Linked DNA regions of Astyanax mexicanus. The protein of the gene in region 3 interacts with the protein of the main gene of each other region in a pairwise test. Links are inferred from orthologs where the notes say so. Each region holds a gene or a part of one and is shown on either strand. Other genes may lie near its edges. The genes, in order: golga1, fam161a, vacuolar protein sorting-associated protein 52 homolog and atp6v1d.

Region 1 (7,404 bases), on a different chromosome or scaffold from region 3:
GAAATAAAGACTATGACATAGTAAGTTGCAGAAAGAACTGCTTTTTATGAATGCTTTATAAGTGGTAATCATTTTTTTTATTCTTTCATCAAACAGTCATCATTTATATAAAAAACAATTAAAATAACTCAAGATTTTGTATCAGTATATTTTTTACCAATTATATGTAAGTTTCTCACTTTATCTTCAAATATTTCCGTTTTATTCCCATTAACTCAAGTTAATAGCCATAATAAAATGTCAAACAAATTTACAACCCTAATTCTTACTTACAAAATGATAGCATACAAATAATTATTTTAATATACACTGAGTTTTAACAACAAATAAAATTTAATATTTTAAATGTCATCGTGTGTTATGTGTCTTATGAATGGTGTTTACTGGACAAACTCCAACTGAGCTGTTTTGTAACCAAAGGCAAATTTCCATTTCAGGCTAATGCAATGATAAACTTACTTATTGACTATTTGATGCTTTTTATATGCTTATGTCACTTATTTGCCAAACGGTATAATCACTAGCTGAGTAAAACATTTTGCAGGTTTCTATTTTAGGACATTTCTGTTTAGTTAAATAAAGTGTTCCTTCCATTATTGTTATATCAAAGGAATGGTTTTATAGGAACATATCCTACTGCAAGCTGTCCCATTCTCTTCCAGCTTCCAGCAGCTTCAAATGTACAAATGCATGGTAATCATATTTCTGTGCTCTAAACTAACCCAGCTGTGGGGTTTTATGGCTGTGGTTTAAAGTTGATGATTTATGAGAAGGACATATGAGTTTGAATATGTTATTTTAAGTGGTTGTGTTGGTGGTTGTGGTTTTTACCCTGAGGCCTCAATAACCTCAGCTGTTGGGTTAAATCATTGTGTATTCAGTGTACAGTTTTCAGGCGCCATCTGGTGGTTGACATAGTATCTACTTTAGAGTGCAGCGCTTAGGCCAGTGTTTTTTTTTTGCTTATATCACTGTCTATTCCACTGCCTGGTAAAAAAAAAAAAGTCTCCACCTGGATTTAACTAAACAAATGATGTGGTGTTGCTGAATTTGATCAGGTGTAGGTTCAGCAACAGTATGTGCTGAAGGAATGAGGACAGATGACTACCTGAATATACTGAATATAGACCAGATCACTCCATAAATGGATTTTTTCTTCCCTAATGGCACGGGCATATTCCAAGATGACAATGTCAGGATTCATGGGGCTGGAATTGTGAAATAGTGCAGAGTTCAGGGAGCATGAGATCATCATTTTTTTACACTTGGATTGTTCATCACAGAGTCCAGACCTTAACCATATTGAGAATCTTTGGGATGTGCTGGAGAAGGCTTTGTGCAGTGGTCAGACTCCACCATCATTAATGCAAGAAATTAATGCAACACTGGATTGAAATTAATCTTGTGACATTGCAGAAGCTTATCAAAACAATGCCATGATGAATGTGTGCCACAACAAAAGCTAAAGGCGGTCCAACAAAATATTAGAGTGTGTGATCTTTTTTTTTTGGTGGCAACCAAATCTTTGATGGTCAAGGTGGTTAAAAAGCTGATCATTCATGTAAAAACACACTATATTGCTGGTATGATAACTGATTAATCATTCTTATGTTAGATTAGAATCTGCTAAGGCTTGGTTATGCTGATCATCAGCTTGGGCTTGCTGGTCATGTAGAGCTAAGTTAGCCAATTAGAAAGATGTCCTGTGGTATCTGGTCCTGGTAGCTGATATCTGACATCAGCAGATCCATAGTCCATAGTCTGGATCTGCTGATATGGAACCAGTTTATCAATGCTATTCACTTTACCTGTCAGTGGTTTAATGTTATGATTGATTTATGCAATTACAAATCAATCATATTAACTTGTGGCCTAAAGGAAAATGTCACTAAGGTGGTGGTTGGTTTTACAGTCGTGGCTTGCCATCTAATGGTCCCAAATGATTATAAGAACAGCATTAATACAGAATTTAAGTTGTTTTAGGATATTTCACAATTATAAACCAGATTTGCTGCACTAAATGCAACATCTATGGTAGAACTATGGCCCTGAAAGGAGATGCTTCCTGATCTGTTTTCTACAAAATACAGTATAATATCATAATCTTCTATTTCGGTGTGCGCTGTGTTTTCAGCTCTGCTGTTCTGACTCATTGTGTTCACTGTAGGAACGGCTGCAGAAACCTGATTTGCATCTGATAATAGAGAGTAAGCTCAGATTGTCCAGATTTGTCTGGACTGATTTTGAGCACTGTGAGCTCTCGTTACTAATTACTGCTCTGATCAGAACACTATATAGAAAATGTAAGTTCATGTGGGGAATGTTAAAGCCTTTCTCAGATCTATATTACTGCTCGTGTTTTTAGACATCTGATACAGTATATACTATAATACAGTGTACACAATAATATGCACTTTATATCATCAAGCTTGTTTTGAATATATGTGCATAGATCTGGTATACATATGTAAGTATTACATAATTATGTAATATATATAATTATGTATATAATACACATATTTGTATATTTATATTTTACATAAATATTTTAAATTAACATATAAGATGTTTTAATTATAGCATACTTTAGATATGTAGGAAAATATATATATCCCTTGTTTGTTGTAAAAGGACCAATAGAAATGCTCCAATATTACATTGACTTCCACTGAAAATTAGACACATTTTGTCTTGTACTGTAAGTTGACATTTTGGAGGTACAATGTTTTTTATGTAATAGTGGTGACCCAGATAGCAAAAGGACATCGGAATTCAATGTTCATTTTTCTATCGCTAATACGTTAAAACAATGTTGATCTCTGACCACAGAATTTATTTATTTTTTGCACATCGATTTTACATTGATTCAACATTATTTTTAAAGTTATGTTTTTTTACTTACATTAAATATGTATACAATATTTATTTTCTATTTGTATAGCATGCCCTGTGATTGGTAGGAAGCACCTTTCACCTAAAAGCAAGGTGAGTGTAGAAGATCTTAGCCCAACCTTTCAAAACCTTCTAAATCAATGTCAAAATTTTAACATTAACTGATACCTATTAGGCAATGTTAAATAAAGATTAATTTAAGGATATCGTTCCATAATCAACCTTAATATACATATAATGCAACCAGTAAACTTTTATTCTTTGCTATCAGGGAATGTTTCATAACATACTGTTAAACATGTGTGTTACATATATATGAAACACAACTGATTGTTTAGATCATTTGATTTTGATAATGGCTTATGTTAACAGTATGTATTTTTTTGCAATTTTAATAACAGGGCTTAGTTAGGGCTTGTCCCCAATTGGTAGGTGATGTAAAGTTTACTTTTCATTAATAAAGGTTGTAGGCATTAAATATTGGATAGTTGTTTAGTCTTATTATTGAGTTTTATTGAGTTTGTTTAGTCTGCATTTTGAATTGTAGTTGGCAAAATAGCAAAGCTCATAAAGCTATTTAGAAATGCATTACAATTTGAGGCTGTTAAAATGTTAACTGTTATATTAACAAAAACATATATCAAATACATTTAAAAACGATCAATTTCAAATGAGCTGTCATCTATATCACACTTATTAAAGCAATACATTACAAACATATTATGTGTATATAGAGGGACTCCATGTTTTCTGTGGAGTATATATCATATTGTTTAAATAATTGCAGTGGGAGCGTTTTCACCGTTGTCAATGTTTTCTGCCTAACGTCTCAGAAACGTTTTCTCAGTTCTCAATTTCTCAGTGAAACACGTGGAACTGAATGACTTTCTATGTAGGGCACACTCAATGCAATGCTCATTAAACTGTCCCGTATCGTTTAAATGTTTAATACGCGTGTAGCGGGATGAATTATGCAGAGTGTGTACTGTAACAAGACCAGTGGCCAGCAGGCAACAAGTGCGCATGACTAAAGAACAAGGGCACGAGCTGACTCTGCGAGACATTACAAACCTTATCAAAACGATCTGAGGATAAAGGTGAATGAGCTATGGTGACCCACTGCACATGGAATAAGCTGACTTTTGGAGTAAACGGCATTTTTATCTAGGAATTAGAAATCTAGTCTACGACTAATAGTGCACAAATAACAAGTGTGCACTAAGTAGTGTACGACAGCAGCGCGTCCTGTGCCCAGCAGGCAGTGAGGCGACTCTCTTGCCCCGCCTCTTTCTAATATTCACCAATCAGAGCAGACAGTGGCCCTGGGCACGTCACGCCGAAAGTGGTGACGTGGTGAAGTTGGTTAGCAAATACAGCCGAGACAGCAGCGACGAGTAAATGAGAATTCGAGCTTCTCTGCGGCTCCGAACGAGATAAAATAACCTCTAACTGACGGACTATGGATGTTAGTTGTGTTTCTGTTGAATGGAGTTAAAGGTAAAGGGTTTGGGCTCTGTGTGTGTGATACGGAGATGCTAACTGAAGCCAATAAAGCAATAAGGACGCTAACCTAGCTTTAGCTTAGCTAGCTAGCATTAGCTTAACCGAGCAGCTGAGATGGTCTGACGACCTTAATAATCCTTCTAATAAACCTGACAACCTTTTATTTTATCTCTCTTAAAGTTATTTAAGCCTTCTTTGTCGCCTAACAAATGAATTAAGCTGTATATCACGACTGTTCTATAGTTAAAGCAATAAGCAGGTAGGTTAGCTACTTAGCTAACTAGCATTGTGAGCTATTGGTTTCTCTGAGTATGTCTAGGTTGGGTTAATACAGCACAGTCAGTCTCAGTCAGGTTTGTGTTTGTCTGCTGTTTTTATCAGTTCAGTGCCAAACTGCCTTCAGTCTGTCTCATTTATAAATCACTGGAGTCAGATTTGAGCTGACCTGCCTGCTGTCACGTCAAGTAAACATTATGTTGGCCTTTGTTAAGCCTTACATTTGGCAAGGCAAGTTGCTGAATAAGCTGTAATCAACAATTTGTAAATTAAAGGTGTTCTTCTGCAATATTGTCAGTTTTGCTGCATATTAGAAGTGTTATGTACAGTGTTAGAAAGAATTTGACACTTATAGAGTCCCTAAGGTGTCAAAAGTAATATTTAGAGATGTAAACACTTGCATAAATTTAACAAATCGTTCAGTTCAGTTTAGAGGGAATGCTTTAGTTAAACTGGGAAAACAAGTATTAAATCAATTCTCAATTTTTTTAGGGAAGCAATGATGTGGGAAATATGGGCAAATATCTGATTTGTCATTGTACAGATATATAACTTACAGAGAGACTAGACACCCTGGTATAACTTTATAACTTATAACTACCAGCGTTGCTTGCTACAGTTATAATATCAGCAATTATCAGTTTGTAATGTCAGGCAATAACAATATAATTCAGATATCATCATGCACCCCTAGTTTCTTAATTTAGGAATTTAGGAATGATAATATAAATTTGATAGGATAGTTCAGGAAAAAAGATTGTTTTTATTTCCTTTATTTTGTACTAATACCTTTTTGGGTTTGTGGCTCTGTTTCAAATTAAATTTTATTATTTTATATGTTTTCAGGTAATTATTAGTTAAAAATTTCATCTTGCATCTCTAATCGAAATTAAGTGATGTTGATTCACACTATATTGCCACATTTATTTGCTCACCTGCAATGCATTTGTTGATGCAAGGCTTTGATGGAGCAGTGCGACCATGGAAACTAATTCTATTAGGCTCTCTATCCTCTACTGTTCTTAAGCAAATTGGAAGGCAACATGGATTTTGGAGGTCTGTAGTGATTGACTCTGGTGGAGAAAGTTGGTGACCTCTACACACTATGCTTCTCAGTGTCTGCTGACTCCACTCTGTCATTTTATGTTGGCTTTCTCAGTCATTTCCCATTTGTTGTAATATTACTTAAATTTCACTGTGGAACACTTAGTTGTGAATTTTTTTTATGACCGGACTTGTTGCTTAGGTGCTGCATCCTAACACAGTACTATGCTGGAGTTCACTGAGTGACCCATTTTTTCACTAATGTTTGTAGAAGTAGTCTGCCTGCCTAGGTGCTTGATTTTATACACCTGCGATCATGGAAGTGATTGGTTTGAGTTCAGTAATTTAAATAGGTCAGCAAATACTTTTGGCAATATAGTGTAAAAGCTTACATTCACATTTAGATTTCTTGGTTTAATGTGACAAAAATCTGTTTTCTAGGCTGTATGGGACATGCTAAATCCAATTGCACAGTTGTAAATTCAGTGCATATGAAGTTTATATATATTGTGTCTTGCAGAAGAGAAAATCTGACAACAGACAGCGATGAAACAGCTGCATCCTGCATGTGAAGCACCTTAAAGAACGTTGATCTGTGGGAGAAGCCCAGAAGGATTGTTTTTTTTTGGACTTGCACACAGCAGTAATGTTTGCGAAGCTAAAGAAGAAGATAGCAGAGGAGGCGGCTACCGGTCCTCGCACTGGACGCATGCCACGATCCATGAGCAAAGAGTCCATCACCTCGGTGGGAGCAGACTCTGGGGATGACTTTGTGAGTAAATCTCCTCTTTATCTCTTTCTTCCTTTCCCTCTCCCATGTCTTTTAGTCTTCCCTCTCCCATGTCTTTTAGTCCCTTAACTGCAAAAGCACAGTAATTTTAGAACTGTGAGTTATCAGTTCAGACAGACTCAATAATTTACAACTAATACTTAAAAAGTTTCAATATTGTCACATAAAAACCTTCCAAAATAGCCTGTACTGCAGAAAGAAAAAAACCCTTTTAACTTCAAAATTAAGTCTATTTAAAAAAGATTACAAGTCGTTTTGGACTTTCTGACATAATGTAAATAAAACTGGCAGATTATATCAAACGGTATGGATACACCAAATATTTAGCAACTAAAATGATTTGGCAAAAATACAGATTCCATTTTGGCTGAATAAGTGTAAAGACAAAATCATTTCTAATCAACAATTATGTTTTTGATGACGCAATCAAATGCAGCCAACATGTTTTTGATCTTTGGCTAAATGTTTGGTTCATTTGGTTCATTCTCATTGATTTGTGTGTGATGGCAACAAAATAAATCTTTCTTACTGTATTCTTTAAATGTAGATAATGTGTGGTTAACCCCCATATAAATCCATGCAGTAAAACAGTGCTGGACACTGTATGACAATATGACACTAAATCAATATCACAAGCAGTTGGATAATTTTACCTTTAACAATTCATGTACGAAAGACATAAATAGCTTTTTCTCTGGTTACAAGCTGATTGAGTTGCTAATTTTGGCTTAGTGTTTGAGCTCTCTATGTTGAAGGTTAAGGGGGCAGTAAATATGGGTGTAAGGGCTGGTGGCCGACCGAGGCACCCTCCGGGGCATTGGAGGGCGCGCCAGGCCAGCGCCGAGGGTTAATTGGCTAATTGCCAACACCTGCTTTCAACACCTTATAAGCAGGGCCAA
Region 2 (7,552 bases), on a different chromosome or scaffold from region 3:
GCCAAATATTTGGTGCGTTTATTTATTTTTTTATTGATGATTATGGCTTACAGCCAATAAAAAAACAACAATCAGTGTCTCAGAAAATTTGAATATTATATAAGACCAATTGGAACTTTTACCAGTGTGGGCAGTGTGCCAAGTCCTGCTGGAAAATGAAATCCACATCTCCATAAAAGTATATATTTTATATATTTCTTAATGATTAATATCATGAGTTCTTATATCAGTGTAAACGGGGGGTGGGCGACAGTGACCTCTATAATAATATTCTTGTTAATATGACAAAATAAACACTGAAATATATGTAATTTCAAGATTATACTACTACAGCAAAAATGTATGTTTGACAAGTTTGTTTTTGTATAAATAGAACAATTGTAAACATCCAGTAGAAATAAAAAGAGTAAGCATTTGTCTATTTTGTTAATAACAGTAAATTTCCAAAAACTCTACCACACAAAACTGTGCAAAAAAGTATGCAAACATTAACAATTTGGGTGATTTTTGCTGATCTGTGATATACTGTATAAAGGATATTAAGCGTATACACACAAATTTACAACAGATTTTGCTAGAAGTCTATGATCCAGCATGCCATTTTATTAATAATGCACTCTGTGAATCCACAAATAAAGTAAAATTAATTATAACAGGTAGATTTTTCATGGGAAATAAAAGTGAGTAATAGCATTATGTGACATTACACACATTGGGATGGCAATTCTAAAACAACAACCATGCAGCCCTGTTAACAATTACACAAAAATACCAATAAATCATCACAGTAAATAGCTAATTTAATACAATATAGACAGCTTTTAAACTTAATTATTGCAGATAAAAATAGAATATAACAGAATATGGAACATCCCTATTATGAACACTATATAAACAACAAGAGTGATCTTTGTATTATAGTATTTTAATATTTGTGTTTTACTGCATACGTAAACTTGTACTGTTTTTTTTATTTCATTTTAAACATTTACACAGTAATGTATATACAGTTTGCAGTGTGTTTTAGTGAATGTGCTCTGGTCTGGTGTGTGAGGCGTGTGCTGTATTATAGTGCACAGGCTCTGAGGAGATGGTAAGCTCATTATCTGCTGGTCTGTTTACTGGGAGCAGCAGATGGCAGATTGAGTGTCCTTCAGTAAAGACAAGCCACCAAACAATAGCTTCACATCTAACAGGTGATAAAGGCCATCCTTATTCACCACAGCCTGAGTTTAGGAGAATAAATAAAGCTTTATATGGGAATAAAATAAGTGTTTGCAAAAATAAAGAACATTTAATAGCTTAGTATCTGTTTCTAGAGTTAATATGTATTAGAAAGGATTAAATTGTGGATGAGGGATGGAGTGAAGGAGACTGGAACTGGAACAAAGGGCAGGTACGTTAAGCTAACAGTTGCTCATCTCTAGTATATTATTTATTCCTTTATTGATCATTTGTTATGTGGGCTCTGAGTGGATTTGTATACCATTTCTCCCAAATTCCAAATAGAAATATCGTCATTTAGAGCATTTATTTATTTGCAGAAAATGAGAAATGGCTGAAATAACCAAAAGAAGATGCAGAGCTTTCAGACTTCAAACAATGCAAAGAAAACACGTTCATATTTATAACGTTTTAAGAATTCAGAAATAATCAACATTTAATGGAATAATCCTGTTTTTTAATCACAGTTTTTTTTCATGCATCTTGGCATCATGTTCTCTCCTCCACCACCAGTCTTACACACTGCTTTTGGCTAACTTTATGCTGCTTTACTCCTGGTGCAAAAAATCAAGCAGTTCAGTTTGGTTTGATGGCTTGTGATCATCCATCTTCCTCTTAATTATATTCCAGAGGTTTTCAATTTGGTAAAATCAAAGAAACTCATCATTTTTAAGTGCTCTCTACCCATACAGGCCCTATGTGGATATGTAATTTGGGAATATTAATAGCCATTCTTTATTAAAAGGCTAAACTGCAGTTTAATCACTGTATATTGCAAAAAAAGGGCAGAAATAATAGTCTGATTTCCTTTATGACATGGATTTATTGTCACAATAACTTTTATGTTTGGACAGTAGATTACCATAAATAATATTATTTTCATTTCAAAACTGTTGATTACACAAATTTTGTAGCGTCAAGATAGCATAGCAATGCACAATGCACACTTCTAAAAACACTATGAACTCTTAATTAAAGAAATACTCATGCAGTACTACCCAAAGTTTTGGACACACCTTAAATTGAGTGTTTTTAGTTTTTTGTCCAGACTATGAAGGAACATATAAGGAATCATGTAGTAACTTAAAAGTGTTAAACAAACCAAAATACTCTGTATCTGGGAGCTGTTAACTTTTTGCGGTTTCTGAGGCTGGTAACTCTGAAAATTTTGCTCTTCCTTTCCTGTGGCGGTCCTGATGAGTACCACTTCCATCATACGAAGTGTTTTATGGTTTTTGTACAGCAAAGAAAACTCTTGCTCCTCCTTTTCTGTGGTGGTCCTGATGAGTACCAGTTCCATCATTACAAAGGTTTTGATGTTTTTTGCATTGACTGCACTTGAGGATACTTTTAAAGTTCTTGAAATTCTTTTTTTCAGATTGACTGACCATCATTTCTTCTTAGATTCATTTTTTTCTTTACTTAGTTGAGTAGTTCTTCTCATAATCTGGATTAGAACATTACTCTAATAGAGCTATTATTCACTGTATACCTGTAACTCTACCTCTTCACTACAGCTGATGCTCTCAAACAAAAGAGGCAAGAAATTCAACGAATTAACTTGCAAAATGCAAAAATGTTCATACTGTCATCTAAGAAAGAGGTGCTACTTTGAAGAATCTAAAATATAAAACATATTCTGGTTTGTTTAACACTTTTTTTCTAAATTAAATAATCCCATGAGTGTTTAGTATTAATCTACAATGTAGATTATTTTAAAATGATGTAAAAACACTGAATTTCGGGTATTTTAAGTTAGCTCTATAGTTAGATTAATTAAAGTTTACTCGCCTCTTTCTCATAGTGTCGGTTATCCGGGCGGCGGGCTGCGTTCTCCCGCTCGTACAGAGCCACGGGGGCTTTAGTGTGGGGGTCCACGGGGGTCTTCAGACACGAGGTCACCAGCACGTTCGCGCGGTGAGAGCGTTCCATGCTGCCCCTGCCCCGGGGATCCGGCTCCGCTCCTCCCCGCTCCGACCTCCGGCTCCGTCAGCGGCTCCTCCGCTCCAGCTCAGCCCGGGAAGAGACGCCCTGCAGCGGTCACCAGGCAACAAGCACCGCCCCCCCCTCACTGACTACCAGCTTCTGCAGGCCACGCCCATGTAAAGTCCAAGCCATGCCCGCTCCGTAAACCACAACGTATTTTCATGTGGCGGAGGGATATACAGATACTACAGAGTGCTGTGAGGGAAAATAGTTCCTAAAGAAAAGGCATCTTTAATACATATTTTACATATAATACAATATAATACTTATACAAAATGACAATATATGTGGACAAAACGTTCTAAATTCCAATTATTTATATATACATATATAGCTATAAAACAGATAAAATATTTTGCTATTTATAGGTTTATGTTTTAGTAAAATGAACATTGTTGTTTTATTCTATAAACTACAGACATTTCTCCCAAATTACAAATAAAAATATTTTAGTCATTTAGAGCATTTATTTACAGAAAATGAGAAATGGCTGAAATAACAATACAAAAGATGCAGGGCTTTCAGACCTCAAATAATGCAAAGAAAACAAGTTCATATTTATAAAGTTCAGAAATCAATATTTGGTGGAATAACCCTGTTTTTTAAATCATAGTTTTCATGCATCTTGGCATCATGTTCTCCTCCACCAGTCTCACACACTGCTTTTGCATTACTTTATGCTGCTTTACTCCTGCTGCAAAAAATTCAAGCAGATCAGTCTGGGTTGATGGCTTGTGATCATCCATCTTCCATCATCCATTATTTTCGAGGTTTTCAAATTGGTAAAATCTAAGGAACTTATGTTTGGCAGGAGCTGCAAAAATATATAAATGCTAAATGCTTGTGTCCCCTATCTTTTTCATGTTTTTAATATTAATCTACAACCTTTTGACTAGTGCTGTATAAATATGAAGAGCTTGATTTTTTTTTAAATACTGTTAAGAACAGTTTTTTTCAGATAATCAACAAAAAGAATAAAGAATAAGATATTCGATAAGCAAATACTTGATAATTTTTTTCTAACATCACAGAAATCAAACACCAGCAAACCTGATAAACAAACCTGATTTAATATGTTTGGCCAGAGTCCTGCTGACAGAATTAACTAAAGGGATTATCCCTAATAACCTGTACAACACCAACAGCAGTTCCAAACCAGTATAGCATTGTGCTAAATGTCACACTAAAAACAAAATTGAATGAATTCTGGTCATTTATCCTTTTCCATAAATATCATTTGCAAGCCTTCCAAAATGTATGTAAAAAATGGATATATGTTGTTAAGGTGCAAATGAAAGCCAGAGAGACAGGCTGAAGTTTCCAACAAAAAAGGCTTTATTAAATTACGCAACGTAACATCTACAGACAGCTCTTCAACAGTTGGTCTGAGCGAAGTGTTTGTGAGGTCCCCACATCCTTCTGCAGCGCGCCAGACAAAAGGAGTGCTCCATTTCCCTTCAGTGCAAACGAGCAAACACCTTATCGGGTGTTTACCTGTGGAAAAAGATAGAAAAAAAAAACAAATACGTATATGAGCTTTTTAAACAGCAGTTACTCTCCTAACACCCCTAAAAACTACCTTCCACTCCCAGAGTAGGAGCATCTCTCACTACCTTCAAGAACTTCCTAAAGACCAAGCTCTTCAAAGAGCACTTACTCTGCAAACACCTCTAACAAAATTATGCTCATTTCCTCATCTCTATCCCACTATGGTCTCCTAAAACGTTTTTGCCTTGGGCCCAAGCCCATTTAGGTGGGGGTGTCCAGATTCTTGTTAGGCTGGAGGGGGAGGTTAGCCCTTCAAAATCGAGATTTTTAAGATGCACACTTCAAACCGAGGGATAGGAGAATCACTGGTAATAAACCCAGAGATGTAAATATTTTACCAGTGAAAAGTGAAGATTAGCACTATATTACCAGAGCTTAAAGTGTAGTTTCAATGTTTTATGGCCAAATTATTTATAACATGCATAAAAATATCGCTAGTAGTTTGTCTCAGATGGCAGCTAGCTAGCTAACTTTCCCGTTCCACCTTACATGGTGCAACAGCCAGCAGGAAGATAAATAAAAGAAAGATAAAAAAAAGGAAGATAAAGGCTAATCAAAGCTAAATTCATCTCCCCAGAGGAATTAAGAAATGGACAATAATAATAATTAATTTCTGAACCATATTCCCCTTTTTCTGAAGATATACAATAAAGCCCAAAAATGAGCTAGTTAGCAGCTAGGTTACTGAACTTTAGCATTCCTGATGAAGCATCGGGTGATTTAAAGGGTTATCCTAATTCTTAGGAACTCTGTTTTTAAAGGGAAAGGGTTACACTCAAAAACAAGGGGTAGGGGTAAGTGGTAGTGGTAAGTGAAATGGGATTGGGCCTACATCTTCTGTTGCTAAAGGTACAACAATTAATTTGCTTTGGATAAAAGAGTCTGCTAAAAGTAATGCAATGAAATATTCAGAATTTATATTGCTACTTACAACATCGTCGATCTTGAGGATGCTGCGGACCGTTTCTGTGGCGAGGGTGAGGGCACTGATCGAGACCAGCAGCGGCTGAACCACCAACTCCTCCAAAATATTAGAGATTCCACCCTGAGAGAGCGAGAAACCGTGTTAGATCAGCATGAAGAATTTCCAACAAGCATATTTTTGTCTTTTTATGTCTCTCGGTAAGCAATTCACAATTACGAACACAAGCATGAACACGGTAAATCAATATACATGTACATTACAAAAATATAAAAAGTTTGTGTGATTTTACCCTTAACTTTTTAAACTAATTAACAACTAGTATTTTTATTCACCCATGTACACATACTGACAAATACAGTAAATTGTATATCCGTTCATCCATGGATATTTTTGTATATCCAAGACTATTAAACATGGTGGTGAACCACATGACACCTCAGATCAGAACATCAGTACTGGATCATGCCTTTCATTGTACATTTAAACCCCTAAAAAGTATTTAAATTTAGTTTGATAAAGGTATCACACTCCAGAATTGCTTTTATATATTTTTTTATTGTTTATGTTTTAATCAATGAAAGAGTAAAACAGGACTTGATCTAACATCTGTTTATCAGGGTTTATACACGTTTTAACCAATTAACTTGATTTTTTTTCATGACTTTTCATGGCCTTCATTGCAAACTTTCATGCCTATACGATTTTAAAAACATCAGTGCAGACATGGACAAATAAAACTAAAAGTCAACTAAAACTATAATTAAAATGATACAATTTAGTAGGTCTAAAATGATTCTGATAAAATGTTGACACACAATCTTTAATAATAAAATGTGTGTCAGATCCTGAGAGCTCCATTGTTTAGAGGCTAAATTACTGATTTAAGGGATTTTTTAACAGATTTTTTAAATAGATTTTCTCCATCAATAAACTAAAACTTGAAAAGATTTGTAGAGCAAATTTCTATAACTTTTCCAAAATTTTCTGGTTATTTTTATTTTTCTAAAATTTCTCCAGCCCTAGAAATGACTATTTTTAAATTCCTTGACGTTTCCAGGATTTTCATGACCGTAAGAACCCTGGTTTACTGTATTAACTCAGGCCCACCTTGCGGACGTTGATGCCGGCGGTCTTCTCTCCCTGGGCATGTCGGTTGCGGAGCTCGGTGACGGTGGAGATGGGGTTGAGGCCGGCGTTCTCGGCCAGCGTGGAGGGGATGACCTCCAGGGCGTCAGCGTACGCACGCACACAGTAAGCCTCCATACCACCCAGAGAGCGGGCGAACTCCGCCAGCCGCAGAGCCAGCTCGATCTCAGGAGCACCACCGCCCGCGATCAGAGCCCTGCAGCACCACACACACAACACAGACAGGCGTAGGAGTTTAATAGACTTTTAATACTCAAGACCATCACAGATACACTACTGAACATCAGGGGTGTGAGAAAATATCAATGGGAAGATGCAATTAATTTTTATAAACACAGTATGGATCTGTGGTTTAGGAGAATGAGACATTGTAGATATATATTAAATAGATATTAATAGATATTAAAACAGTACGTTTTCCAGGCCTAAACTAAAATACACTATTATTACTGTATCGCTGCCAAATATACAGGAAAACACAAGCATTAAAAAAAAAAAAGAATTAATAATCATGATTAATAAGAGATTGTTGTTTATTTCAGAAAAGATGCTTATTTAAAAGGAAATGGTGTACTTGGCCATTTAGTACTTTTAGTAGTTTATTTTAAGATGAAAATTGTATGCTTTGATACCCTTGTTTCAAAAATAATTAACTAACACTAATGAAAATCTTAACTTTCTATGGTATTAACTATATATATATATATATATATCTTTGGGTAA
Region 3 (8,221 bases):
GGCAGTGCCAAAAAAAGTTATAAGTACCTTAATAAATAAAATACACTTCCAATACTAAAAGAGGTCTATATAGATAGCTGTAAATATTACACTGTACTTTAAAAGCATTAATATTTCATTAGCATTACAAGGAGCAGAACATTATTATATTAGATCAAAATATCCTTTAGAGTCTGAAATGTCAAATAAAATAAAATACAAGCATAAACAGATATGGTAAAAACAGTGGCTACACCATATGATTCCTATGAAGAGACAAACATTTATATTAATACACATAAAAATAACCCCAAATCCACATTAGCCTAAACAGCTCAGTAGCAATTTTAATGCTAAGGCTAATGCTAATAGCCCCACCAAAAGTACCAATCTACACATTACCTCCCTGTAGTTTACTCAGTAATTATGTCTGTAAATGCCTCTACATGCTCTTCCACCGGCCTCAGTCTCCTTAAATAACTAAACATAATAATAATATTAATTATAATACAGCTAGAATAATACCAGTACTGAATCACTACAATATAAAACCTGCAGCCCCACACTCTTCAGCATTATCCAATATTAACCCAGAAATATACACACACACACACACACACTATACACACACACACTATACACACACACACTATACACACACATACTATACACACACACACTATACACACACACACACACACACTATACACACACACACTATACACACACACACTATACACACACATACTATACACACACACACTATACACACACACACACACACACTATACACACACACACTATACACACACACACTATACACACACATACTATACACACACACACTATACACACACACACACACACACACTATACACACACACACTATACACACACACACTATACACACACATACTATACACACACACACTATACACACACACACTATACACACACATACTATACACACACACACTATACACACACACACACACACACTATACACACACACACACTATACACACACACACACACACACACACACACTATACACACACACACTATACACACACATACTATACACACACACACTATACACACACACACACACACACTATACACACACATACTATACACACACACACTATACACACACACACTATACACACACATACTATACACACACACACTATACACACACACACACACACACTATACACACACACACACTATACACACACACACACACACACACACACACTATACACACACACACTATACACACACATACTATACACACACACACTATACACACACACACACACACACTATACACACACACACACTATACACACACACACACACACACACACACACTATACACACACACACTATACACACACATACTATACACACACACACTATACACACACACACACACACACTATACACACACACACACACTATACACACACACACACACACTATACACACACACACACTATACACACACACACACACACACACACACACACACACACTATACACACACACACTATACACACACATACTATACACACACACACTATACACACACACACACACACTTTACACACACACACACACTATACACACACTATACACACACACACACACATACTATACACACACATACTATACACACACACACTATACACACACACACACTATACACACACACTTTACACACACACACACACACTATACACACACTATACACACACACACACACATACTATACACACACATACTATACACACACACACACTATACACACACACACACACACACACTATACACACACACACTTTACACACACACACACACACACACACTATATACACACATACTATACACACACACACACACTATACACACACACACACACTATACACACACATACTATACACACACATACTATACACACACACACACACTATACACACACACACACACACTTTACACACACACACACTATACACACACACACACTATACACACACATACTATACACACACACACTATACACACACACACACTATACACACACACACACTTTACACACACACACACTATACACACACACACACTATACACACACATACTATACACACACATACTATACACACACATACTATACACACACATACTATACACACACACACACTATACACACACACACTATACACACAAACACACACACACACTATACACACACATACTATACACACACATACTATACACACACACACACTATACACACACACACACTATACACACACACACACACTATACACACACACACACACACTTTACACACACACACACTATACACACACACACACTATACACACACACACACTATACACACACATACTATACACACACATACTATACACACACATACTATACACACACACACACTATACACACACACACTATACACACAAACACACACACACACTATACACACACATACTATACACACACATACTATACACACACACACACTATACACACACACACACTATACACACACACACACTATACACACACACACACACATACCTTCCTACAATTGCGTATATGTGGGGACCGGGTAAAAGCCCCGGTGAACTGAGGACCATAGTTTCTGCAGTAGTTAGAGAGCAGCAGTTCGAGTGTTTAGCCTCTAGATGTCGTCCAGATGCGGGTCATCACTTCAAACTGAGACTTAACCAATCAGCTGCAGAGTTAGCAAAAAAGTTTTTCACCACAGGAGTGAGGACATGAGCGGTTACTAGGCAGAATATGCAAATACCTTATTATGAATCTGCGCATAAACCTCAGCACCGCCCTCAGCGGTGCAAATATTTTTACAATAGAAATACACTCTGAAAATATCCTAACCACCGAATACCTTTAGAGTTCTGGTTTAGAGTGATTATTAAATACTGGACTTTATCTGCACTTTATTTGCGCGGGTCAGCGGTTAGCATAGCCGCTAGCGCTTCACTAGGCCATTACGCCGAGAAGAAGAAGCCCGCCTACAAGTCTGTCTGACGAATAGCGACCGAATATCTACAGGTTCCATCCAATCCGGTTCTAGAAATGGTCTCAGTGAACGTCTGATCTGCAGAAACAGCGTTTATGATAGGCTAAATCCTCCGTCCGTTAAAGCACGGCGCTTTACCCGCGTTGGACCGGAGCGCGTTCAAAATTCCCCCGCGAGCCCGCGGCGGGATAATAATAATACACATTAACACTGACCCCAGTTAAACCAGTTCACCAACACCACCGTGGCCAGGTATTAGACCAATCAAACACGTGGCCTGCACTGCTTTTGGGAAACGTACCCCAGGATGGTTAGACTTTTGTGTTGTTCAGAATGTATATTATTTGTTTAATGCCCAAGCTAAACTTACTTAATCTGTGTGTGTTTCAGATTCAACTATCCTGCCAGTAGAGAGAGGATGAAGATGAAGAACCACTTAAAAGACTTTTCATTCTTGTATTTTGTGGGGAATTTATTTTATTTATTTATTTGGTAGCATATTTTATTTACATCAGTAATGTATATATGTTGCCCTTCATGTTTAATGCTGTCAGTAAAAGATAATGTATAATAATAAGGATCACGTGTTTAAATATTTATGCTAGAAAAGGGAATTTTGAGGTGAAATGGTAAGGAAGGAATTCATTAACATTTTGGTATTTATCTTTGAAACTTTATGATATTTGTTTTGTTGCATACGCAAATGTTATTAATATACTTCATGAATATTAAACAAGCTGTTTATATTTATTATTAAATATTTCATATTTGAGGAAATATTAATTTTAAGTTTTATTTACAGTCAGTGCTTATTAAATAGGACAGTTTGGGGGTTTATTTATTAATAAGAGTGAGGGGATTTTAATGAGGGGATTTTAATGAAATTAATTAGGGTAAAGCTCTGTAAAGTGTGCCGCTGGTAGAGAGGGGTGAGAGGTGAAAGGGCGTCAGAGGTAAGATGGTGGATGTAGTGCGTGTCACTCCCCGATCTGTACCCCCTGCCTGCGCACTGCAAACTGAGTGAGATGAGCAGGGGCACAGATCGGGTAGGTAATGCCAAGGTGTACTTCCGCCCACACTGTCGCAAACAGCTCGTACACTGTGGTGTCAAAATTAAGGATTTTAAGTTTTACAGAGCTGTGCAGAGTACATTTTCGTTAAATTCAGCATTCACGCCATCCTCCAAGTAAGTAAGTAAGTAAGTAAGTAAGCTTTATTTATAAAGCACTCTTTACACAGCTTCCACTGCCCAAAGTGCTGTACACAAAATGTCTAATAACTACACATACATACAACCACAACGAAGGAATGGGCAAGGAAAGTGTGTGTGTGTGTGTGTGTGTGTGTGTGTGTGTGTGTGTGTGTGTGTGTGTGTGTGTGTGTGTTGAGAGAGATATGGGTTCGCTCTCATGCTTTTTCTGAGAGTAAAATAAACTGATATTTTGATGAATGTGTTGTACCTGTTATTTATAATAATTTGCTGTGTATTTTAAGAATAAAAAGAATTTTTAAATGTGAAGTAATTTACAGACTTGGTATATGTAACAAAAAATAAATAAAAACACAGCAGGCTCACACATTTTAACAGATTATTTTCGATTTTTAATTATTTTAAACACCTATCTGTCTATCTAGAATTCAGAAAACGGAAGTTAAGCTTGATCAGCGATCTCACAGCGCCGACAACTGTTGACAGCCGTGGCTGCCCGATCTGCGCCCCCTGCTCAGTGTGCAGTGCGCATGCGCGGCACAAATCGGGCAGGGGGTACAGATCGGGGAGTGACACGGGGTGGTAAGTTGTAGGTTTTTTATGTGAGTTGTAGTTTTTAATGTGGGATTTGTAGTTTTTTATACGTTGAGTTGTAGATTTTTTCATTGTGAAATGTAGTTTTTTTATAACTGTTGAAGTTATAGTTGTAGTTGTTTTTAACGGGAGTTGTAGTTTTTTTATAGAAGTTGCAGGTTTTTTACGGTGAGTTGTAGTGTTTCTGGGAGTTGTAGTTTTCAGTGTGTCAGTAGTAATGGCGGAGGTGTTGGTCTCCGGCGGGGCTGCGGCTGATTTAACCCCGGCGGGCGGAACCGGGAGCGCCGCTATGGCTTATCTGCAGGAGGAGGTACCGGCTGGTTAATGTTAGCGGGGGGTTTCGGGTCGGTACCGCGCTGTGGGCGGGTGTTCGGGGGTTCGTGGGATCGGTACCGGAGTGCTGACGGGGTTCTGGCGGCGGTTTGGTCTGAGCTGGGCTTCAGTACAGCGGGTTTATAACTGATACTGATCTGTATTACTGTTATAAACTCAGTTAATAACCCTACTTATTATTGATTATTGATTTATAGCGTTTATTCCGCTGTAACAGAGCTGTTATAGCGAATCAATCTATTACACTGCATCATTAGCCTAGCTGTGTTTTGGCCTACAGACGCCCTTCATAATAAAAGCCCTCATAATATAAGGCATCATAATTTCTCTGTATCCCATTTATGTTATTAGATTAACCATGGAGACAATAGATTCATATTTATTTGTCTGCTCCAGACAGTCCTAATCTATTGGCAAAACTGAAAAATACAGAAATAAACAAGCTGTGTGTGTATTTGCACATCTATGTCAGCAATGGGCGCAACCAAATAAACTGAATAATGATTTCCACTAGTGGTGGGCGATATGGCCCTAAAATAATATCATGATATTTCAACAATACACTACTGCCAAAAAATGAAAATTAAATGTTATTATTGCATGTAATATGATATGTGATTATATAACTGAGATATTAAAAAATACAATAAATTTTCATTAGATTTGTAACAGAAGTCAGTGATCATGATACTAATAATATTAATGCACTCCAAATATCTTCATATATCCAGGATTAAAGTAAAAGAAATCTCTAGTCTCTAGTAGATATATAGTGGGAAATAAGAACAGTGTTATTTTTTCTTTTGATAAAGACAGTATAAAAGTAGAACCCTGGTGTGATAATTAGGGGTGGGTGATATGGCGCCATATTTCAGGATATAATATCATAGTTCACAATGGTGGCGATATTATTGGGTACGATACGATGCAGTATCTGGTTTAATGAGCTGATGTACTGAGTTTTGTTGTTTTTATTCTGACTGTATCAGAAGCCGGACTCTGATCTGGTTCCAGCTCTGAATCTGGGGGATCTGGATATAACCACTGATGAGTTCATCCTGGATGAGGTGGACAGTAAGTAGCTGCTTATCCAGCTGTTTTACAGTAAAACTACTTTTAAATCCCAGATCAAGGGTGTTGTGCTGAAATTCGACTCCCCTTGGTGATGTGCAGAAACGTGAGTCTGTATCTACTGTAACTGTAGCTTATTTATCATAATAATAATAAAATTATAAACTTTATTCATAAAGCACCTTTCATACATTAAGGAACATAAGGATATGGGGTGGTGATCACCCTGACCTATAGATAGATAGATAGAGAGATAGAGAGATAGATAGATAGATACTTACTTTATTTATCCTGAAGGAAATTTAGGCATCCAGCAGCAACAACACAATACAATAAGAAACATACTCAGACAAATCAAATCAAAACACAAGAATAGAAAATATATAAGACTATAAAAAACCTAACTATGCAAGGTAAGGATCTATCTGTAAACGGAGCAGTGCAGTAGATGTTGCTAATGGTCATTGTTAATTAAATAATTAACAGAGTAAAGTGCAATGTGCAATGACATCGATTACGAAAGTGACTGTTGTGACATAGAAATATAATATAATAAATTTGCATACGTTAGAAGACAGTTCTAAAAAGAGAATGTGAAAATGTGAATACCCAATCATGAGTAAGGTATACTTTAATGTAAGCAAGGTTGGGGAAGTGTTAGTGTAAATAATTAAGTGGTTGAGTAATAATGTTCATGTGGTGTGACTGGGTTAAACTCAGTCGGCAGCAGCATCCCGTCCCCGATGGGAGGAGTTAAAGAGTCTGATGGCTCTGGGAATGAAGGATTTTCTGAGTCTGTCTGTTGTGCAGCTCTGTGACAGCAGTCTGCCACTGAACACACTCCTCTGCTTCATGATGGTGGTGTGAAGTGGGTGACTATCATTGTTCATGATAGAAAGCAGTTCATCCAAAGTCCTTCTCTCAGCTATTGTAACCAGAGAGTCCAGCTCCATTCCAACCACTGCCCCGCCCCTCCTGACCAGCTCGTTCAACCGCAATGCATCTCTCCTCTTCATGTTGCCTCCATAACTATAAATATATAACATAACTATATAACTGAAACTCTTGTGGCTGAATGCAGTTAAATCCTCACAGCAGTGTTTCACCTCCAGAATCAAGTAGACATTCTTCTCTGGACAGTAGAAACAGGATAAACTCGTTTTTAGTATGCATGATTTCAGATAGATAAATGGATGATGGATGGATGGATGGATGGATGGATGGGTGGGTAGATGTTTAAATAAATGGATACACGGATGGATGGATAGACTGATGGATGGATTGATGGAAGGATAAATTGGTGGATACATTTATGGATCCATAGAGGCATAGATGGGTGGATGGATTTATGGATGAATGGGTGGGTGGATGGATAAACGGATGGATACATAGATGGATGGATAAATTAATCGATGGGTGGATGGATCAATTGGTGGATGAATTTATGGATCCATAGAGGGATGGATACACGGATGGATTTATGGATAGACAGACAGACAGATATATAGATAGACAGTCAGACAGACAGACAGTGTGTGATGTTGAGTCTCTGGTGTTAATGTTGGTGTAATAAACCTGTATGTGTTTATTTGTGATCAGTTCATATTCAGGCTAATCTGGAGGATGAACTGGTGCAGGAGGCTCTGAAAACGGTGAGATTATTTATTATGTATTGATTATGTTTGATGATGTATTATTGTGATTATTGATCTATTGGTAAATGTGTTGTATTGATTGTGGGCGGGATCTGTGCAGGGGGTGGATCTGAGACAGTACTCTAAACAGGTGGAGGCGGAGCTACAGCGTATTGAACAGGCCTCCATCAAAGACTGTATCCTTATCAGATCATTATAACCCCTTATCATTTACATCGACCAATCACAACACCAGGACCAGCTCATTCCTTATTCCTACACCCGTTATTCTAACCTCTCTCTGCATACTTTATTATTATTCTCTGA
Region 4 (8,091 bases), on a different chromosome or scaffold from region 3:
TCGTCATCACTCAGTGCGGCCCGCGAATAGATCAAAAATAATTTCATAATTTCATAATTTAAAAAAAAAAACAAAAAAAAAACGTAATTCTACTTTTGACCGCTAGAGGGCGCTGCCAAACAACCACGAAAATTGACATTGACATCCAGTCCATTGTGAGCCAGCAGGCCAAACCACAGCTCTCTCATTAGCTTCAATAAATGTTGGGCCTCTGTGGTCTAGTTTTCTGCTATTATTGAATGAGCTATTTGCAATCAGTTTTTAAATCTTTTTTGTTCTTTGTTATAAATGAGTTCAAATGCCTTTTGCACATTTATAAGCAAATGTTTTGTCCTTGTTGCTTATGAAGGACTTGTTATAATGAACTTATTTTACACAGAGGAACTACTGTATTTGCAATCGGTTTTTTAAGCAAACTTCTTTTTTGCACTTTTTTTAAGCAAACGGTTTGTCTTTTGCCGTATTAAAATGCATTAATATGCAGAAAATAGTTGTTGATAAATGTTGGTGCTGTAAACATACAGATATAAGTTCATATAAAATTTGTTCTTATTGAAAATCATTTGTAGTGTTTTTCATATTCAATTATTTGAAGTGCGAGGTCATGTGGCCCTCCAATGGTCATGCTGAAAAAAATGTGGCCCTCTCCATCATGGAAGTTGCCCATCCCTGTTTTAGAGCATGAACAACATATTCACTGGCCAATAACATACCTCATTGCTACAATAGTAATATGAGTGCTGGACAATACAACTTTAATAACCATCTTAATAACTCTAAATATCAGTTTTATATGATATTTAAAGACTTTTTTTAATGATGCACTGTATTTATCCCAATGTTTTGACACAGACAAAATTTATCCGCAGTGGTAGATTCTGAAAAAAATCTATTCAAATACTCTTTCATGCACAGTACAGTGATATTTATTCAGTTTTCCTGCACATCATCCAAATAACATTTTTTACAATGCTTGCAATGAAACAGTTAAATGTGTGTTTTTAAGGCACCAACAGCATCCTTTATTATGCTTATTAAAGCATACATGATGAGTGAATGTATCACAATACAATAAAATCAATAATATAAGTTAATCATTATTCACATACACTTTCAATGTCATTATGAACACTGACATTGAAGTTGAATAATTATGCTAATTGCCCCATGGTTAGCAATGGCTTAGTAATACTAATTGTTACACTGATCTGTTGATCAGGAATGATGTGGGATTTTACATGATTTTGACACTGAAATTACTACTGGGTTTGGAACCCAAGCCCATTTGAGTTTTAAGATTTTAAAATCATTTCTTACTTAATTCACAAGTTACCAGGATTACTACTAAAAAAACACGGCTTTACGTCCCAGGCAAATCTTCAGATGTTTATCCTGTGAAACTGGGTTTACGAGTCTGATAACCCAAATAAGCCCATAGTGATGTGTGTGTCACAGACCATTTAAAAGATGAGTTAAGTCCCTTACAGTACTTTCTCAATCATTTTATCTCATGAAGAACCTCTGGCATATACTGATCATTCTGAAAGCATCACAGGACAGTGTGTGGAAGTGTGTTTGTTTATCTGGACTTATTTACAGAACGCAGAAGTGCTGCTGCTGGAGATAAACCTCTCTTATTTAAAATGTGTGTTTTTGCTTTTACAGCTCCACTTTAACCATACAAGTAATGAAATTGTTGTTGTGTCATTTAAGTTACATCATGGTTTTAATCTTAAAATATTTACAGTCATGCACCCACAGTAATAATAATAAAAAAAGAAAACTAAACAAGAATGAGCTTCTTACTGAATTTATCTGATTGGTATCAATATTCAGAAATGGGTCTGGGTTCTATAATGGGTTAATCATAAATGAATTGGAGAAATGGGCTGGAAATTACTGACTAATAATGTAGTGTGAACTTTAATGAATAATTGTCTCACTAGTGCTAATTACACTGACTAGTAGATCAGGAATGATGTGGAAAAACATGATTTTGACGTTGGAATTGGTACTGCATTTTGAGTTTCAAGACCTGAAAATACTTTCTCACTTAATTCACAAGCTAGCAGGATAAATACCTACAACCTGGCGTTAGTATCCAGGCAAATCCTCAGATGATAATCCTGTGAAACTGGGTTTAATGGTCTAATAATAAGATATTACAATCAATAGAGCCTAGTTAACTAAATAACCCTCATACAGGGTGGAGCTGCTGTTCAGTATTAAACCAGAGTTAAACTACAGAACCGGTTCAGTCGAGTCTAGTTAGATGGGTTAGTTAGTCCAGCTGTACTGTATTCTGTCTCTGAAGCTGGTGATATGTATAGGTATCTAATGATACCCATAGATCTGTTATTGTATCAGTGGCTGAGCTGAGCTGCACCACTCAGTCTCATTGAGCCCATGCGGTTCAGCAGATAGCTCGGCTAGATAACACATTTCTGCTTCTAGATAAATAAATACTGAATAAAACCGGCCCGCCGCGAGTTCCAGAGAGTGGTGTTACCTGAAGCGAGTCGTCCCCGGGAGCGCGGTTAGTCTAGAGTCTGTTTCTGGGCGGTAATTGTAAATTTTGATGAGAAAAGGCTCCGTAAATCAGGAGTTCGCCATGGATCCACAGCACAGAGAGAGAGTTACATCATGGCGCCGCGCGAAGTAACTTCAACATAAAAGTCCTTAATAAAAGTTTTCATTTTTTAAATATTTGTGTTTTTATATTAATAAATAAAAATAAACAGTTACATACAAACACTAATAAAATAATAATAAAAATAATCACAATTTGAAATATTACATCAAATATCAGATTACAGGATCCTCATGTGGTTTATACACCACATCCTTACTAGTTACAGCATGGACAACATATCCACTGGCCAATTTCACACCTAATTGCTATAAAAGTAATACAAATTAAATGCTGGACAAAACGTCCATATCTCTATCACAACAAATCTTAATATCACTTTATATAAAATTCTGAACAGTATGAATGCCACTGCCTGAAGTATATAGAATCACACAGTTATAGGTGTAAAATATTATATGATATTTTTATTATACACTGTATTTATCGCAATGTTTTGACACACAGACAAAATGCATCAGCAGAGGTCGATTCTTAAAATCATCTATTCCAATACTCTTTCATGCAGAGGACAGTGATTTTTATTTAGTTTTTTTTTCCTGCACATCATGCAAATAAACAATATTTTTACAATGTTAATAATGAAACACAATTAAATTGGTGTTTTTAAGGTACCAGCGGTAATAAAATAACCTGAAGGAAAAAAAATATATATTTTTACGAGGAACGCTACAAATTTGACAAATAAATGCAACGTGACCCAGCTAGCTAGCTAGGTTTTACAGTAAATGTATAATCATTAGTTCTATTAACAGTCAGTATAAATAAAATCAATTAAGAAATTTCTATTAAAAAACACCGCGTTTGTCGGGCCACCAGAGGGCGCTCCAGAGCGAGTTCAAAATGAATGGGCTTATATGGAGCAATTTAACAGTTAACGTTATAGTTTATAAATGTTTAATCACCGTTATACTGAAAACTGAAACAATATCTAACATTTTTCAAACGAAGACAAGGATATCAAATACTTAAAACTGTAGATATAAACCTTTTAAAACTGTCTCTGACTCTGACTGTAACTCCAGCATCAGCCCACCAACCAGTCAGAAGACAGTAACAGTAATGCTAGCGCATTAACTGCCTAAAACCAGTGTACTGTAGATAAATGGACAGGTATACATATAGCAAAATGCATCTTTATACTTTCATAAATTAAAAGAATACCCTGCATTAGTTACTTTTTTGTTTTATTTATAGATTTTCTTTGAAAGACAAAATTAGAAGAAACAAGTCATTTTAATCCTACTGTTTCCAAAGTAAACTTAATTTTTTATCCTTTTTCAACTCTGGATCTAATAAAACATATATTGGTCAATCTCAGGCAGCTTTATTTGATTTTCTACAAGGAAGATACATTTAATAAGTATGTTTAAAAGAAGCAAGTGCACTAATTACTTTGATTTTAATTAAATGGTTGACTGCATGTTTAAAGTTTAAACAATAGGCCCTTTTAATCCTGCCCCCTAAAGCAATATATACGTAGATCCATATCACTAAAACTTTCTCTGTTTTGCATGCCCTTAATGAATATGCCAAGGAGGGCAGCGCCTTTCTCTCTTTCTCCCTCTCTTTTACACACCTGATTGGGGAAAAAAACTGTGTTGCCTGCGTGCACGTTTGTGTTCACGCCGTTATTGATATGCGGTAGACTCCCGCCACTTTCAGAAGACTTGGGAAGTCTGTACACAAAACATAGCATAAAGATGTATATAAAATGCTCATATACATAAACATATATAATATGCATCACCTGTATCTATGAATAACACAGTCACATGCATATGTATCCATGCATAATTATATCTTCACAAAATAATAACACAAAAAAATGTCATGAAGAAATGTGACCTACACACATGATAAGTGAACACTTTATATGTTTTGTATTGTTTATAACCGGTGACTGTACCAAATTGTTAATAGCCTAGACAAATTAAACATCACTATAAGTTGTTTTTCATTCATATTATTTACTATTTTTAATTGAAGGTTTTAGCAATTTAGCTCAATTCACTTCTATTCATTTTGGACTCACTCGCGGGCTCCCTCTAGCGGTGGTTACAGTGGTTCACTGACAAATAACAGAGGCGATATACAGGAAGTGTGCAGTTCCTCCATAAGCCGCCTCTGCCCTTACAGCTATCGGTTACACACACTTCAAAATAAAAGTTTAGGTAAAACTGTACTGTTTTAAATATATATTATATATATATTATGAATCGATCAATCTGTGTTAATAAGAAAGCTTACTGCTACATTAAATCGTAAAATAAACCCAAGCTATGTTTTAATAATGATAATGATCATAGGTTGTGTTTAGTGTTTTGCTGAAGGCCGCTGGTCGTGAGTCACATGACCCGCTGTGAGCTGTAATGTGATTTTCAGTGAAACAGTGAAGCCGAGCGCCGCGTTCCTGCGAATAAAACCTACATGCGAACAGAACAGGCCACAGGTCGAGCAGAAAACCCCGCTTTATAAACACACAGACCCGCCGGGATCAGGAGGAAAACGACGAGATGTCGGGCAAAGACCGGATCGACATTTTCCCTTCGAGGATGTGAGTAAAGCGAGAGAGAGCTGTGCTGTGCTGTTAGAGATACAGACTACAGGACACGAATTAATCAACATAACATAACCTTTAATTTACTGTTTAGACTCCAATATACTCTAATATCTAATAATTAAACTATAATAACTGTGCTGAATGTTATTAATGCTGGGGTTGATCTAAATATAAAACTGACCATTGATTAACGTTACACACACATTATTATTATTTTTGTATTATTTTACTACACTGTAGCAGTCAACTAGCCATATAAATAGAATAAAGGACCAGTCTGCAGTGTGTTTATTCTACAGTGGTATTCTAAGGACCACCAGCAAGGTCATTATAAGACTCTCTGAGGGTAATTGTGCAAATAAAAAATATTTTTGTGCAGATTAAATACGTGTATACAGTCCCTCTAAAGGGTGTGTTAAAATATTGTATTTTCAGAATTTAGACTATAAGAACAGTGTTTGAAATAACTCCCCACAGAAAAACAGAAGTGTATTATTCAGGATCATGTGATGTGAGGCTCTGGCCATAGAGGAACATCCACAGGGGGGAAAGGGTTTGAAGCTGAAGAGCTTAAAGGGTAGTTGTAGTTGTCATTATTGTGATAACCAATATTATTGTCATTTTAAAACCATTTAAATGACACTGACATAATGATACTAGAATAGCATAACGAAGCATTCATATTCTTTTGAAGACAATACAATTGTAAGTAGTCATAGTTTGGGGTAAAAAAAAAAAAAAAGGTCACACACACTAATATTTTGTTGGACCGCCTTTAGCTTTGATTGCGGCACACGTTCACTGTGGCATTTTTGCATTAATCTTCTGCAATGTCACAAGATTTATTTCCATCCAGTGTTGCATTAATTTTTCTTCAAGATCTTTTATTGATGTATTGATGATGGTATCGTCTGACCGCTGCTCAAAGTCTTCTCCAGCACATCCCAAAGATTCTCAATGAGGTTCAGATCTGGACTCTGGAATCCATGTGTAAAAATAATGAGCTCATGATTCCTGAATCACACTTTCACAATTCCAGAACAGTGAATCCTGACATTGTCATCTTGGAATATGGCCGTGTCATCAGGGAAGAAAAAAACGATTGATGGAATAAGCTGGTCTATATTCAGTATATTCAGGTAGTCAGCTGACCTCGTTCTTTCAGCACAAACTGTTGCTAAACCTAAACCTGACCAACTGCAGCATCAACCCCACATCATTTTTTTTGGCCTGGCAGTGTATTTACTTTTTTAGTTACCTAACACAGTCCACAGTGTGTATGTGGTGTCACTGTTTTTGAAGCATTGGTCATTGAAGCATGGAAACTGGCAAATATACTGTTTACTGTGAACAAACATACAAATAAGCACAATATACAATATCACTATTATAAAATATTATTGAGGTCATGTCCATTTACTGTAAGATAAGTTAATAATGTAATTATTGTGACAAGTCTAGTCAGTAGGGTTGTAGTGGACCTGATACTACAAGTCCAGTACCATGTGCAGAACATTCTCATTAATATTAGTTTTTTTTTATTTGTATTTACTACATTGTAGCTTAAATGTCAATTTATATATAAAATAAACAGGGTGAAAAAGAGTTTGTTTTGGTTTAAAATTGTTTATTGTAGAGAAGTGCATTGATGCTGATTTCGTGGTGGTGTTAGGAACTGGGGGGTAACCATGTGAATACAGAAAATATAGTCCTTTTATTTACTGTCTGCAACCACCAGTGATTCTGTGCACGTCCTCTTAGCTGTATATGTAATGTTAAAGATGGAAATGGAGTATTTTGTAGGGATTAATTTGAGATCACCAAGTGTATATTTACTGCAACACAGTCCAATAAACTCTTTAACTGTTGATAAACAGTGTCTAGACATCAAATGACGAATTCATAATAATTTCTGAGGGGGAGCTTTTAAACACATAAAACTCTTTAAGCATTTTGTTCCATTCACCACCACTGTGAACAAGTCTGACTAAGCAAGTTCCTCTTAAACTCATGAACACAAAAGCAAATGACTGTTGTTGCACACTGTATTTTTAATTGTATAATTAATGACTGTTTGTGTCGATGGTTTTAGGGCTCAGACCATTATGAAGGCTCGACTGAAAGGAGCTCAGACAGGGAGGAACCTGCTGAAGAAAAAAGCTGACGCCCTTTCCATGCGTTTCCGGCAGATTCTCAGGAAGATCATTGAGGTAGAAACATGAGAAAATAAATATTTTAAATGCTTATATTAATGAGTATGTCATGCTGTAAACATGTAATAATGTGAGAAAAAATGTAAATAGCTGTAAATATTTTTTCATTGCTTACCCTGTTTCCCTTTGTTTCTTAGACCAAGACGCTGATGGGAGAAGTGATGAGAGAAGCTGCTTTTTCTTTAGCTGAAGCCAAATTTGCTGCTGGTGACTTTAGGTATGAGCAGCTTGCGCTTATATTTAATGTTAATGATAATGTGTTTGTGAAAGTAAGTTTGACTCCTGAGCTCATGGATGTGTGTTTGTCTCAGCACTACGGTTATCCAGAATGTGAACAAGGCCCAGGTCAAGGTTCGAGCCAAAAAGGACAATGTTGCAGGTCTGAATAAACTTCATTTAAATTTGCTTCACTGAGAAATTGCCAAGGAATTATTAAGTTCAAACCTCAACTAGTTTTAGTTTTGTTAACTTAAATGTTTTTCAGCAGATTTTAAAATGTTTGTATTATTTTTTTATGCATGAATAACGGCCCTAACTGTATTTTGCTTCATTTGCCCCCCAGGTGTGACTCTGCCTGTGTTTGAGCACTACCAGGAGGGAGGAGACAGTAAGTTTGGATAAAATTATATGGTCTCACACAAATTACAGTGCATACAATAATTGAA

The links.
Region 1: the proteins of vacuolar protein sorting-associated protein 52 homolog (region 3) and golga1 interact in binary tests that used the Homo sapiens proteins (3 or more experiments, as listed by UniProt). The two-hybrid records come from large-scale screens. The link is inferred for Astyanax mexicanus from reciprocal best matches to the Homo sapiens genes VPS52 and GOLGA1.
Region 2: the proteins of vacuolar protein sorting-associated protein 52 homolog (region 3) and fam161a interact in binary tests that used the Homo sapiens proteins (3 or more experiments, as listed by UniProt). The link is inferred for Astyanax mexicanus from reciprocal best matches to the Homo sapiens genes VPS52 and FAM161A.
Region 4: the proteins of vacuolar protein sorting-associated protein 52 homolog (region 3) and atp6v1d interact in binary tests that used the Homo sapiens proteins (3 or more experiments, as listed by UniProt). The two-hybrid records come from large-scale screens. The link is inferred for Astyanax mexicanus from reciprocal best matches to the Homo sapiens genes VPS52 and ATP6V1D.

Annotation. Positions count from the first base shown.
Region 1 is NC_064419.1:30,653,414-30,660,817, reverse strand, and holds the start of golga1 (golgin subfamily A member 1), read left to right. Parts: upstream 1-4,238; 5' UTR 4,239-4,355; coding exon 4,356-4,389; intron 4,390-6,156; exon of another isoform or gene 6,157-6,356; coding exon 6,357-6,487; intron 6,488-7,404. UniProt on the Homo sapiens protein: Involved in vesicular trafficking at the Golgi apparatus level. Involved in endosome-to-Golgi trafficking. Mechanistically, captures transport vesicles arriving from endosomes via the protein TBC1D23.
Region 2 is NC_064428.1:33,715,256-33,722,807, reverse strand, and holds the start of fam161a (protein FAM161A), read right to left. Parts: upstream 3,327-7,552; 5' UTR 3,157-3,326; coding exon 3,016-3,156; intron 1-3,015. Other genes in the region: cct4 (T-complex protein 1 subunit delta), read right to left, coding at 4,690-4,704, 5,690-5,803, 6,791-7,025. UniProt on the Homo sapiens protein: Involved in ciliogenesis.
Region 3 is NW_026040044.1:1,818,912-1,827,132, reverse strand, and holds the start of vacuolar protein sorting-associated protein 52 homolog, read left to right. Parts: upstream 1-5,049; 5' UTR 5,050-5,073; coding exon 5,074-5,166; intron 5,167-6,178; coding exon 6,179-6,263; intron 6,264-7,859; coding exon 7,860-7,912; intron 7,913-8,015; coding exon 8,016-8,091; intron 8,092-8,221. UniProt on the Homo sapiens protein: Acts as a component of the GARP complex that is involved in retrograde transport from early and late endosomes to the trans-Golgi network (TGN).
Region 4 is NC_064408.1:85,782,265-85,790,355, reverse strand, and holds the start of atp6v1d (V-type proton ATPase subunit D), read left to right. Parts: upstream 1-4,994; 5' UTR 4,995-5,166; coding exon 5,167-5,207; intron 5,208-7,305; coding exon 7,306-7,423; intron 7,424-7,563; coding exon 7,564-7,643; intron 7,644-7,737; coding exon 7,738-7,805; intron 7,806-7,988; coding exon 7,989-8,033; intron 8,034-8,091. UniProt on the Homo sapiens protein: Subunit of the V1 complex of vacuolar(H+)-ATPase (V-ATPase), a multisubunit enzyme composed of a peripheral complex (V1) that hydrolyzes ATP and a membrane integral complex (V0) that translocates protons.